2 linked regions of the Lytechinus pictus genome follow. The protein of the gene in region 2 purifies or fractionates together with the protein of the main gene of each other region. This does not show direct contact. Links are inferred from orthologs where the notes say so. Each region holds a gene or a part of one and is shown on either strand. Other genes may lie near its edges.

Region 1 (7,545 bases), on a different chromosome or scaffold from region 2:
TTGTCTGGAACTACTTTGACAAGTTCTGGAAAGTGATAGGAGTACCATTCTCTGGAAGGGTAAAAGAATTCAAGGTAAATATTTAAATCACAAAGCAATATATTTTGTATAGACTTATTGTACATATCCAAACAACTTGGGGGCGATCTACCAATCACACCTGAAGCTACATGTAGAGTTAGACAACTTATTTCAGCATTAACCATTTGATAAATTCAATACACCAGCTCCTTATTACACATGGGTAAAGGGTGGCAAATGCAAATTAATATCTTACTAAAGGATATATCATAAAGCACAGGGTGGCATGATGATTTAAAAAAATTGTGTATTCTATAATATAGTAATGACAAGATGATAATCATCCCCTATGAATGTTAAACAGGGTCAGCAAACCATACTTACATTACTAGGTGGCAAACAGACAATAATGTATATTACCAGGGAAATGTAAAATATAAGTTAAGAGGGACAATTTGATGACCCTATCCCATGGACCCTAGTGCAATGTACTATGGATGACCATGATTTATGATTAACTATCATGTGGAGCGTTGTTGCCCAGTGGATAAGTCTTCTGACTTTGAAACAGAGGGTCGTGGGTTCGAATCCCAGCCATGGCGTAATTTCCTTCAGCAAGAAAATCATCCACATTGTGCTGCACTCGAGCCAGGTGAAGTGAATGGGTACCCGGCAGGATTAATTCCTTGAATGCATAAGCGCTGAAAGGCAGCTCGAGCTAAAGCCGGGGTAATAATAATAATAACAACGCGCCTCGGAATAGAATATTTCTAGATAGATGGCGCTATATAAATGCCTATTATTATTATTATTATTATAGCAATTTAAGCTCAGGTTTTTATGTCTGAAACATAATGATAGACTCCAATTATTTATTATAACAACTTAATCTATTGGGGGCCCCAGACATATGTTTGAATAAGTACAAAAGTGGCTCCTAAGACATGTGTTTTGCGAAATCTGTCAAAGAAACTGCTTCGGCTTAAAGGTATTGTTTAACTTTGTGAGCAGCCTATTTAAAAAATTCTCAAACCAAGATGAAACATGTGTACAAGTGCATGTATTAGAACTAATAAACCCTGAAAACAGCCGTTATTGAGAATGAAAAGCTAAAACTACAAGGCAAACCCCGATTTTGTAAATGGGTGTCTAATAGACGCCTAAATAGTACACATAAGTGTATGGGATGAAATTAAGATGGTGTTTCTGGTCACTTTATATTTCAATTTTTGAAGCACTAAATAATTATTTTCGAACGCAATTTTTTCTGGGCTTCATTTTTGTAACATATCACAGACACAGGTGACAAGTGTGACCTTCTAGCTCAGATTTTTTAAAAGTCAAAACAATGTTAACCAATCACTTTAATGCATATATTCGCCATATGGAAGATTGACTTTACGCAAGTTTACCTTTATGTAGTCTACCCAGTATTGTCTACTCATTTAAGTGTGATATTTTAACATATTGTCACAATGTACAGCCCAACACAATACTCACTTGATTCTCATTGAAAATGTATTGATATCCTTATCCAGTTGATCAAGCAAACAGATGGATTGGATGATCATGTTATCTGCTCTGTTCACATTGAACTTGACCTTTGCCCTTGAGTAGCTGTGACCTAGACCAAGTTGTGCTTTAGCCTCTGTCTGAGCGGTCAGTCCCTTGACCAGTCTGTAGAAATGGTACCTCAGACCTTGTAAAAAAAAAAGGAATGTGGTTACTATTTTGATAATTAATGCTCTTTTCAATTTACATAATTTACTGGCGAAGAGCCACAGTCAATAACATCAACAGGTCTGAATTATTCATAGCTCCCAGAATTTATTTTGGCGATTTGAATATGTAGTATTTTTTTGTGTTTCTCTCCTTGAGAACATCCTTACCACAAACATGCTGTCAAAGAACAAATACTTACTGATATCTCTAATTGATCTCACTGCCTGATAGATCAAGTCAAAATTTATCAAAACATAAAATACCATTTCAATTTGTTTTTATTCTAATGCCAAGGCTCAAGATTAATCTATGATCTATCACATGCCTCCACTGTGCATTTGACATCCTTTGAAGACAGTCCCCTATTAGAAAGTTTTTACCTCTTGCGATCTCCTGGAAGACTCCTCCCGTCTGACAGGGGATACCTAGTTCCTCCTGGATAGAAGCACCTATCTTCCCATCGGCCACACCCAATGTGATCTTCTTCCTCTTCTTAGAGCTCTCTGGCATGTTGGTCTCCAGGAAGAGTTTCAGGTCTTCTGTCATCACACCTGAGACACAATAAAAGAACACAAAAAAAGAGGTTATATTTTCTAGGGTATCAACATACCTCTTGACCAATTTAAAGAAAAATAGGAATGATCTTGCTAAAAAAATCAGGAAACAGTAGTTTTCATAGGATCGTGTAGTAAAGTTATCAAGAAACGTAGGAAAATTGTCTCAAACAGGGGCTCAAAATGGCAAAAAAAGATCACATTCTTTCCTCCAAATTCAGAATGATTGAGAGGCCTGAATCGAAGGGCGAATATCATTCACATTGTTGTAAGTAAATAGGAATCGATCTGTTGTAAAATTTCCAGTAATTTCCTGCCACAGACCATGCACATGTCTTCAACAAAACTCAACCAAAATACTACCACCTGATGATTTGCAAAATATACTTCACTACAGGCTCTAAATTTTTTATTCATTGCTTCTTTCTCTGTTGAACGAACTTCCTAGAGTCTGTGCCATCATGATCAAGTAATGGAAGTTGGGGTTCAACCACAACACAGCTTTTATGTCCTTGAGCAAGAGCTACATTGTGTATTATCAAAACATCAAGTATAGGAAATGCTATTAAACAAAATCAGTATCAACATTTTCATTTTTATTTTTATTAAAAAAAAAAAAAAATTATTGGCAAAATTTACCTTCTGAGATGCTGTTGATATTGTCAAGTGCGTTGACCCCTGATTTGAAAGGCGAGAAGGCCTGAAGCTTGATCAGAGAGGCAAACTTGCCAAAGTCTGTCACAGATTCCTGGACTTGGTGATGAAGGACAGAGACCTCCTCAAACTCCTTGACTGCAAACAAGCCGTAGCCTGATGCATGTTCAAATAAAATCATCATAGCCTGGGTGAAAAAAGAGAACAGAAAATGGAACAGGATAAAATGGATCTGTAAATGGGTTTGACGAACATGTACTTAAACATAGTTTGAGAACTCTGAAATAAAGGAATGGATAGCTCACAAGTTTCTAGTATATTTCAATTTACATGTGAATGGTGGGAGTAATATGGTGTTTACCACATGATTACATGCATGTTGAGGCCAGAGTTATCTAGTTATTTCATTTAAAACTGTTACACTGCTTTCAGTAAACAGACACTAGTTTGTTTCTCGAGTACGCCCCCCCCCCTTCACAGCTACATGTAGGCATTTTATTGAATAAAACAATTTTCAAAATTTACATTTACATATTAAAAAGTAAAACAAACAGCTAGTGTGTGTAAAAATCAATAAGAAAAAGTGAAACAACATGCCAAGATGGTACATGTAAAATAACAATACAAGAAGAGAACCAGAGGTATTGATGCAAAAGAAACATTACCCAATATAAATAATAGGCCTACATGTAGATTAATGAAGTTTGACCAACATCTTTAAAAAGAATTTTGTTTCAAATTTTAACAAGAGATCACATTCTCATATATATGAAAATGTAATTCTTTACCTCAATTTTCTGTACGAGGTGAAATCCAGCCAATTTAGTTTTATGTATTATCCATTTTACCCACATTGTATTTACGGCTCTATTTTGCTTAAAAGCTTGGTCTCAACCAGCCATACTTGCAAGTGTGTGCTGTCTGCTTTCTAAAAACATGGGCAAAATTTGCGGATCATATTGAGTACTGCCTCCCTACGGATTTGGGAGCACGCAGACAAGACGTAGCACTTTTATGACACGAGGAACTTTCGCTTTACTCTCATTACGGGTGATGCGCATGCCCTCTACTGCCAACGTTAATCACACTTGCAACTTCCAAAATTCACAAAAACATTACGATTTCATATTCACAAATCAAAGAATTCATATACCTAAAACGACTAACCAAGGTTAGGTGTTTGAAAAGTATCTACGAAGGTTGTATCAAAATCTACAATTGCAAAGCAAAATTGCAATGGAATTATGTGAGAGCTTTTGAATATCATCACGGTGCAGCGTATTGGCCAGGCCAAAAGCCAGGCTACATGTAGAGATCCGCAGTCAACACGCACATTTAGTGGTGCACCAGTCACTTTGTGAAAATCGCTGTTGTGATGTGATGATACCGGTACTTGTACCTGGTACTGCACTGGTATTATGAGTTGTCAAATCATATTCTTACACGGTACCTTTTTTTTTTGTCTTTCATTCCTTCCTGTTTTTATTTTTTTTATTTCCATCCCTAGCTTCTTTTCTTTTCATTCTTTACTTTTTATTTTTTCCCTTCTTTCTTTCCATTTGAACTTTTAAGAAATTATTTCCTTCATTTCTCTTTCCTTCTTCCTTACTTTTCTTTCTTTCATTTTTCTTACTTCCTTTTTTCCGTAGATCTATTTCGTTTTTGTCTTTCTCTCTATTCTCTCTTTTAGGGTTGACAATTTTTTTTTTTTTTTTTTTTTTTTAATAAAAAAAAATTGGATTTAATTTTTTTTTTTTTTAAAACAATATTTTCTAAAACAAAGTGGAAAGACTAAAAATAAAACCCTTACACTTAACTCAAAATCATACATTTCAAAATCATACATTTCACAACTAAAATTATTATTAACTTCTATTCTATTTCATAATTAAAGACAGTCAAAATAGAATTTATATAGAACATATTGTAAGTCATGACGAAGATGCTGTTTCTGCATCCTCTCGTGTTGGGAGCTCCTACTGACTGGTTTGGTCCAAGTTGAGGAACTGCCTTGGTACAGCTAATACTGCAAAGTTAGTGTTCCTATTCAAACATGAAATGAGGATCAGTTTCTTTGGAAGAATTCCATGACTCAGAGACTCACATTCTTGAAAGAGAAACATTCTTGATTTTCAAGCCAAGGACTGAAAATCATGTGTTTAATAGAGAAAACTCCATTTCTCTTTGTTTGTTTAAACCTCCTTTGGCATTTGAGCCATGTTTGGAGCTTTTTGATTGTTTAAAGCATTGATTTGCAAAGCTATGACTTATTGGGAAAAAGTTGCAAGTTTATTTAGTACAATAAACCTGGAGTTGTACATTGCACATGTACATATTTCAATGGAAGTGATTTAAATCAATGATTAAAACAAAATCATGTGGTGAAAATGGAGTAGGGGGCAAAGTGGTAACCACTTATGAAGGATTTATTCATGTTTTGATGATATAAAATTGATAAAATCTTTCTATTTTGAGCAAAAAAAATAAAACTGCCACAAATACAAACAAGGCAAAAGCGATTTTGTGTCTTGCCCACTTAGGAAAATAACCAGAAATATCTTGATTTGCGAGGGCACGCAACAGAATTGTATCAAAACTCATTGGGGCAATTCCATAGGTTGGTGGACATGAGCTTAAAAATTCAAATTCTCAAATTCAATATTTTCTTGAATTTTTAAATACTTTAAGTCCTTCATACATGATGGTTTCAGGAACAAAAATTAAAAAGATTATTTTCATATGTATACTTTGGAAAAAAATGGTCAAAAGTTGTGTCTTCCACTCTGTACAAAAATACAAGAAATATAGTGAAAAATTAAATATGCCTTATTACCATTTTGTTATTGCAACATCATACCACTTTATATATTTCTGATAGAAGAGTCAAATTACTTAAAATACACAACATATTTTCAATTAAATTTGTAGTACTTGTTCAAAAATAAATATTGCAACCTGCTCAGGTGATGTAACGTGAGTAACCAAAAAAACTGACTTTGTTTTCTGAGAGAAAAATTCTTCACAGTAAATTGGTGGAATTTTAAATTCTCTTCCTTCAAACAATCTTTACACTACCACGCGTCACGATTGGCGGGCGCCGCCAAGCCTGAAAATTTTCAGGGCAAATCCGCCAACCCTGAACTTCCCCGACAACCGTGGCCGACAACTGTAAAGCAGGCCTAGATCTACACAAAAACTGAATAATATATAAAAAAATAATCTGCTTTTCAGATCCTAAAGTAAACTTGTCGATTATTTCGTCCACGATTCCTTCCCGGGATTTCTCACTCACTACTACTAGTGCGCTATATACGATACGACCTCGACTCGAGGCCCAATCTCTTTTGTGGGAAGTGCGAAGATGTTTACCTCGCATTTGCGTATCGCATTGCTCACATTATTTACGTCTTTAAAATGGTAGTAAATACTCTCAAAAACAAGTGAGGGGAGAGGGGTATCGTGGGTTACTGGCTTGGGCAATGTAATTTAGATTATTACGAATTTCAGTTGATATTGTCACTTATTATGTCAAATATAAAGTGTGTCAAAATTACTATCAAAATTCGATCGAAATATAGTTTCATCTCGTCCCAGGCCCCAGCCTTTATAGCTACATCTACATGAATTCATTTAATGCATTTCTGATGACACTGCCGTAGAGCGAATTGAGAAAAACTATTCAAAGATCACGTTAATAATAACAAAGCCAATGGAATGGATTGATATAATGTCCAACTCATTTACTTACATCAAAATGATTTATTCACATTTAAATTCTGATTTTACTCCATTATTTCCAAAGTCTTGATCTCTACGTCGATCTTTTGAAACTGTTGATTCATTTCGCGACGGCGTGTCTACCAAGTTCTGTGCCACTGCACTCGCGCTCGCAACGGTCACATTCATAATACAAATCGCACATGGCATCAAAATCCTTGATCCGGGGATCCGATAGTCTTCCAAAATTAGATGGGATCCAAAACTAATTTAATTTGATTTTTTTCATATATTCATTGAATCTGTTATAATTTTCATAATTAATAATCTTTATTAATATTATTCACATTTTTTATCATTACGACTCATTTTTTTAATGTGAGTTATACGTACAGTGTATTTTCATTTGTATTGTTCTTTATTACTCTTTGCCTGCCAATTAAATAATGAGCGCACCTGTCGCGGGCCTGAGAAATGTTTTTAGTCATCACAGTGAATGCTTTATGAATTTGTTGTACAATTGCTTAACTAGGATTTAAAACAAAATATCATTTGAAATTAATTTGTGTAAAGGAAAAAAAGAGAATGGGGGGTGGCCGTGGGCAATGTAGATGAAAATGATGGGATGTTTGTGACTTTGTGGGGGAGGGGATTAAGTTCGTAGCGAATGAAATTAATATTCATTTATGGATGTGTCTACTGTGATTGTGGCTGCATAATCTTTATGGCGATTGGAAAATCCACCTTGGGTCGGTAGAGGTACGTGATTCAATAGATTTTGATAGAAGTACACATTCAACAAAGTGGAATTGGCAATTCATTCACAGATATTCGTTTCAAGTACGAATTATTGAAGTTGATATGTGCGAACGTTTTA
Region 2 (7,205 bases):
GAACTCGTTCTGATACTCCGAGTGATATATGTGGGATTTTATGGGGGTAAATATAAAACTCATGCAACAACACGATCTTTAAAAACAATAAAAACTAATATTCTTACCTTTCACAAAGTTTCACTTCTTTTCCATGCTTCTTTAATTTCCTGAACGTATTAGTTTACTGCCGATTCCAAAACATCGCAAAGGCAAATTGCGCGGAATTTGCAGCTCAATTCATGAATATTCATGAGGACTATACATCCATATCTGATGCAAATGCAAAATGATCTCGATGTTTAGTCCTACTCATGAATATTCATGAATTGAGCTGCTGATAGAAGCGTGGAAAAGAAGTGAAACTTTGTGAAAAGTAAGAAAATTGATGTAATTTGTTTAGATTTTATGAAAGCCTTTGACAAGGTACCTCACCGTCGACTGCTTGAAAAGGTTTGGTATAAATGAACAGGTGGTTATTCGAGGCATTCCTTGTTGGAAGGAGACAGAGAGTGTGTGTGAATGGCGAGTTCTCAAGTTGGGGACATGTAGATAGCGGAATTTCGCAAGGGAGTGTTCTTGGCCCGTGCTGTTTTTGTTATATATCAATGATCTCCCAGATGTTGTTACTGGAAGTAATGTTTATCTTTTTGCAGATGATACCAAGCTGTTCAAGTATATAAGAGATCAGAATGATTGCAATTCACTCCAGAGAGATCTTGACCATTTGAAATGCGGGTCAGAAAAATGGCTGCTGAAATTCAACCCCAAGAAATGTAGTGTACTCTCTATTGGTATCACGCAGGACCGGCAGGAAGCTTTTGCATACACTTTAATGAATGATGCGCTTGAACATGTCACCTCCGAAAGGGACTTGGGTGTTGTGATTGATGATAAACTCAGCTTTGAAGAGCACATGCAATCGAAGATAAACAAGGCCAACAGGCTTATGGGCTTGATCAGACGAACTTTTGTATATCTAGACAAAAATAACTTTGCATTGTTGTATAAGTCGCTTGTCCGACCACAAGTTGAGTATGCCCATGCTGTGTGGAACCCCGTACTGAAAAAACATATACATGCATTAGAGAACGTACAAAGAAGGGCAACAAAATTAGTCCCTGAATTAAGGAAGCTTTCCTATCCACAACGACTTAAACGATTAAAAATCCCAACTCTGGCGTATCAAAGAGTTAGGGGTGATATGATTGAAACATATAAACACTTTAATAATTATGATCAATGTACAAAACTTAATCTCGAAGAAAAATATCGTGAACATACCAGAGGTCACAGTAAAAAATTGTTCATAACAAGGACAAAGACCCAGAAATATAGGAAGTCTTTTTATGTTAGAATACGTAAGACATGGAATAGCCTAAATAATGAAGTTGTCACTGCCCCAAGTGTGCACAGTTTTGAAGCTGCCCTGGATACATTAGATGCTGGAAAAATGAGCCAAATAAAATATGGCTACGAAGTACGAAAGCCCTGTTCTCGGAAGTGAGCCAGCCATCTTGAGGAAAAACCTAGAACTCAATAGAGGCATAACATGCCTACATTCAGAAACTTCCCAAGGTATCCCTAGGTAATATCAGTTTTTAAAGGTCAAGTTGTTGCATGAGTTTATTCTCCCCCTAAAATCTCACCTTTGTCACTCGGAGTATCAGAGCGAGTGGTCCTACTACTACTAGCTAGACCATGTAGACTAAGTCTAGTAATGGACAGAATTTTTTATTTAGTGTTCACATCGGATCAATCATGGGAAAAAAAACAGAAAAATAAACATTTTTTTTCATCAGAAATACAAATGTACGGACAGGTCTGCAGCTGCATCAGATCACAATCACACAAAAAAATCGAAAACTCAACATGAAAAATACTGTACTTTGTACAAAATCAAAACAAAATACAATTTCATTTTCAAGACAATCAACAGTAGACAAATCAAATTCAAAAGCAAGACCAAATACTTCCAAGATAAAACCTACATTACAGGCCTCATCAACTGTCAACCTTTCGGCGTCGTTACAACTTAAAGGGGAATGAAACCTTTGGAACAAGTGTCTCTTTTCGCTTTTTCTTATGGTGATACAAACTCTTTATCCATGATGTATTCTTTAAAAATCTGTATTACCGGTACATGCTCTCTTATAGAAGAACACACGATCTACTTATAGATGTGATAAAAGAGGCAGTGTTAGTGAAATATATACTAAAGTAATGGGGAGAGTTGTTCACAAGTGACATCACACATCTTTGTCGCATTGCCAATGTGAGGATCTCGTCATAGGCATAGCATTAGTGATCACAATATTCTGAAATGCTCATAATTCATATAACTTTCTCATTATTTGTCTCATTTTTGTTCTCAAACTTTTGTTGATCTGTTTCTTTGATTTTTCTATTTTCACACAAGCTATCTTTGTTCAGAGGTTTCATTTTCCTTTAAGTTACAGGTACATGGTTCGACTTGGTTCGTCATGAAACAGGCCCTAGCCATTAGTCCATTCCCATCATCTGCGTATGCGATTCTCGCCCACGAACATCCCATGTATCTTATCACGTTTTCGTGATTCAGTATTAGAATTGCACACGAGATAAATCGCTGAGCCGAGTTTATCGTATTGCCGTATTATAAATTGGTTGTGCAGGATGCACATTTTCAACAAATAATGCTAAAATAATTAATCAAACATGCGTGAAATGTACCACGAATTCGAAATAAGTATGTAACATACCATATTAGAGAGTTTCTTGGATTGGTTAGGATAGAAAAAGATGAATTTCGGTCCTCTCGGCGTTGCGCTTCACTGAGGCCTAACGAGCTCCACGTGCGTATACTTATGGAAAGCAAATAATGGGGATATCGGATCGATCGGATACGTATATATATATACGTATACATATATATGCATGCGATGTTATGCGCCGCGCTCGTATGCTAAAAACGAAGTCCGAGACAAGTGAGCTGCTGGGCAAACCCTTCACTCGAGTTATAGGGTCTGAATGTGCAGCCTATCCATGTCTTGTGTACTGAAGGCCCTCTCGCTCAGAATTGAAACAGCAAGTTTTGTTTGTGCTAGTCTTTACGTGGAGACGCACTTGCTGATCAATCATGGTCTGTTAAGAGTTAGGTTTAAAAAACAAACAAAAAAATATTCAGAAAAGTGTTATTAATATTGAAGGAGAATTATGTCATGATAATCTAAAGATAGCCAACGAATTTAACAATTATTTCACAACAGTGGCCGATAAATTATCTTGTGAGCTCCCCATTACGGACAGAAATGAGTTTGGGGCCGACAGTCCTAATTAAAAAAAAACTATATAAAAGGTATACAAAGAGGCTGTTTTAATTTTTCTCCTGCCACAGAAAAGTTTGTATTAGATGAATTATCCAAGTTGAAAATATCAAAAAGTATCGGACTTGACTTGGTTCCTGCTAGATTTTTAAAGGATGGTGCAAAAAATGTCTTTATACCTTTAACTAACACTATTAACCTATATATTTCAACTTGTACCTTCCCTGATGAAATGAAAATCGCTAAAGTCACACCACTACACAAAAAGAAAGACAAAACTCATGTTGGGAATTATAGACCTATTAGTGTGTTAAGCATATAGTGTCGAAAATTTTGGAGAAATGCGTGTATTCTCAAATTGAGAAATACTTTAAAGAATACAAAATCATTTATGAATTTCAGTCTGGTTTTAGGAATGGTTATTCTACTGAAACATGTTTAATTCACTTGTTGGATTTTGTTAGGAATGAAATTTCCGAAGGCCGTTATGTTGGGATGGTTCTTCTTGACTTAAAAAAAGCATTCGATACAGTTAATCATGAAATACTCTTAAAGAAATTAGAAGTGATGGGTTTGAATTCAGCATGCTTGAATTGGTTTAGGTCTTACTTGACCAATCGCCGTCAAGTGGTATCCATGCAAAATGTACTTTCATATTCTATGCCTATAAACTGCGGAGTTCCACAGGGGAGCATATTAGGTCCCATTCTTTTTATGTGCTATATCAATGATATGTGTAATTGTGTTAATGAAAGTAAATTACTTTTATATGCAGACGACAGTGTTTTACTCTATTCTGATACAAGTCCTAAGCTGATCGGTGAAAAACTTAGCTTAGAATTATCAAATTGTGTTAAATGGATGACAGATAATAAGCTTAGCTTACATGTTGGTAAGACTGAAAGTATTTTGTTTTGTTCGCGGGGTAAGTCTAAGCATACAGATTATTTCAATATATACTATAACAATCAATTAATTAAGAGACAGAATTCCGTGAAGTATTTAGGCCTGATATTGAATAGTGATCTCTCATGTACATCTATTGTAAAAAAAGCTAATGCTCGCTTGAAATTTCTATATACCGGTACCAAAACTGCATGAATACGAAATCCAGACGCATTTTAAGCTTTTCATTAATACAGTGTTTATTTGATTATGCTAATGCAGCATGGTACTGCAGTCTTGGAAAGGTTGATCAAAAAAAGTGTATAATTATTCAAAATAAGATTGTTAGATTTATTACTTGCTTACACCCAAGAACACATGTTGGGAAGAATGAAGTCGAAAAAGCTGACCTTCTTCGCATAGACCTGAGGTCGCAACAACTTATACTTCACCATGTTCATAAAACTTTCTATTCAAACGAATATCATTACATATCAAAAAAATTTGTTCACATTCAAGAAGGCCGAACAAAATCATGCGGATATATTTAAAGGGGAATCCAGCCTTGGCCATAAAATGTTGTGTTGGGAAGGAGAAAAAATGAATTAAACAGAATGGTGAAAGTTTGAAAGAAATCGGACAAGCAATAAGAAAGTTATAGCTGCTTTAAAATTGAGATCACTAATAGTATGTAGATTTCAAATTGGCAACTGGGTAAGGAAATTATGACAATGGGCAAGGACAACTTTCCCATAGGCCATGTACTTTATTATCAGGGATTTGTGGTTTTCTCCTAAGTACCCATTCCCCTGGGGCAGTTATCTAAATATAACCCAGGTAATATATTGTTTAATGTCCTCATGAAAGAAAAATATAATTTGAAATAAAACTTTTTGAAAAAATGACATTTTAGGCATAATATGTATTGGAGTACATGGAAGAGTAGTCCTTGCCTTACATCACTATGACATCCCATATGCGGCCAATTTGAAGTCTCCATGAATATAGTGATTACCAATATTTACAACTTTTAAAAATTCATAACTTTCTTGTTGTTTGTCCAATATTGTTCAAACTTTCACCTATCAACTTGTCTGAATTTTCCTTTCCTTATAAAAACAAGTTTTTATTTGGGTTGGATTCCCCTTTAAGGTTCAGGGCTGGGGGGGGGGGGGGGTGGGCTGCGTGGGCCTATAATAGCTGTTACAATTGCCAGAGATTTTCTTTTTCGCAACAGGCCTCTGACTTTCATGACCTTGTAGGCCTAATTAAGCTGAAATCGCATTATGTGCAAGCTAGCTTATAAAACCTAAAAATGTGAGGCGTGCCCCTTCTTATGTTTTGTGGTTTTTTTAAGGAGGGGGGTGGGAGGAACTAGGAGAAAAGAGGATAAAGATGGAGAGAAAACAAGAAAGAATGGAGGAATAAGCTATACACGCAGGCGCGGTTCTATATAGACTTAACTTTTTTTACGGGGGGGGGGTCTTCTGGGGGCTTGAAATATTTTTGACGTTGGTTTTTTTCAATACAATAAAAATGGCCTATTGTGGATAGCCTTATACACACCAATTAGCTAGTCACCCTCCTATGAAATTTTCTAATATTGTGCGAGGCAGCATAGCGACCGAGAAAAAAAAATCAAAATGCTTGAGAATTTTTCATCTCATTTATTATGCATTAGGGCCTGATCGGTGTTACAGATGTAGATGAGGACATTTAACGATAGAAAGGGGGGCGGGGGTAGGACTGGATAGGCAGGAAATTGGTTTGTGTTAATTGTTACCCAGTCCTGAGGCGTTTTTTAAACTTTGAACGTAAAAAGGTATAGAACATGGCAGGAGATGGGGTTTTAATATGACACCCCTTAAAAATACGAGGGGATGTGGTGACCAGGGAGAAAATGTTTGAAGCCAAACCTAGAATTTGAAGCACTTATGATCTTTACAAATAATAATGTAATTAAGCCTATATACACCTGCAGCAAATAATACTGAATGGGATACTTATTCAACAAAACGGCCAAATGATATACCCTGCACAACATCCCAGTATAACACAAAAGAATACACATATCCTATGTGGCCTATTGAAGACCAGTCAAATCATTTACATCTAATAATAATAATAATACATTAGATTTGTATAGCACACTTTCCATCTTGATTAGATGCTCTAAGGCGGAGCGCTTTTGATGACCAAAGTCCAAAACACGACAGGTTTTATTCAATTTTATGGCATTTCGTGGTGGGTGAATACATTATGGAGGTTAAGTTGCAAGGCAGTCTACTATATAGCTTAGCTATTGCAGGAGATTATTGATTTCATTAATGTGTTCTTCATTTAGATGATATTTTGCGAGGGAGCGTTTAGCGACCGAGCGAGAAAATTTTTGAATTTGAATATTAAAAACTTTTATTTTAGAGCACTTGACGACATGAATGAAATAATTATATAGGCCTTCGCTTATAGGACCTATATATATATATATATATATATATATATATATATATATATATATATATATATATATAAATATATATATATTTGTTTTCTTTGTGGTCGATTTTTTTTTTTTTTGGGGGGGGGGGGGCTTCAGTCCCAAAACCCGGGGGTCTGGGTCGATCAGTTAAATCATGGAATACGGGGGGAATAACCCCGTTGAGAAACACACCCGGTAGGTCAAGTCCACCCCAGAAAAATATTGATTATTTTAATAACTAGAGAAAAATCAAACTAGCAAAACGCTGAAAATTCCATCAAAATCGGATGTAAAATAAGCCTATGACATTTTAAAGTTTGCTTATTTTTCACAAAACACTAGTGATATGTACAACTCAAATGAGACAGTCGATGATGTCCCTCACTCACTATTTCTTTTGTTTTTTATTGTTTGAATTATACAATATTTCATTCTTTATAGATGATGCTGAAGAGCTGTATAAACCTTAATGAGAAAGAGTGAGTATATATTGTATCATAAATTATGGGGAAGTTCTGGGAGTATACACTGTAGTCTATGTATAAAACATATGGAAA

The links. The genes of interacting proteins can lie anywhere in the genome.
Region 1: the proteins of NHP2-like protein 1 (region 2) and nucleolar protein 56-like fractionate together in Homo sapiens (co-fractionation; 3 studies listed by BioGRID, with this or other methods). This does not show direct contact. The link is inferred for Lytechinus pictus from reciprocal best matches to the Homo sapiens genes SNU13 and NOP56.

What each region holds. Positions count from the first base shown.
Region 1 is NC_087256.1:9,010,998-9,018,542, forward strand, and holds the start of nucleolar protein 56-like, read right to left. Parts: upstream 3,135-7,545; 5' UTR 3,133-3,134; coding exon 2,937-3,132; intron 2,295-2,936; coding exon 2,124-2,294; intron 1,721-2,123; coding exon 1,522-1,720; intron 52-1,521; coding exon 1-51. UniProt on the Homo sapiens protein: Involved in the early to middle stages of 60S ribosomal subunit biogenesis. Required for the biogenesis of box C/D snoRNAs such U3, U8 and U14 snoRNAs. Part of the small subunit (SSU) processome, first precursor of the small eukaryotic ribosomal subunit.
Region 2 is NC_087254.1:23,672,589-23,679,793, reverse strand, and holds the start of NHP2-like protein 1, read right to left. Parts: upstream 3,064-7,205; 5' UTR 2,724-3,063; coding exon 2,721-2,723; intron 1-2,720.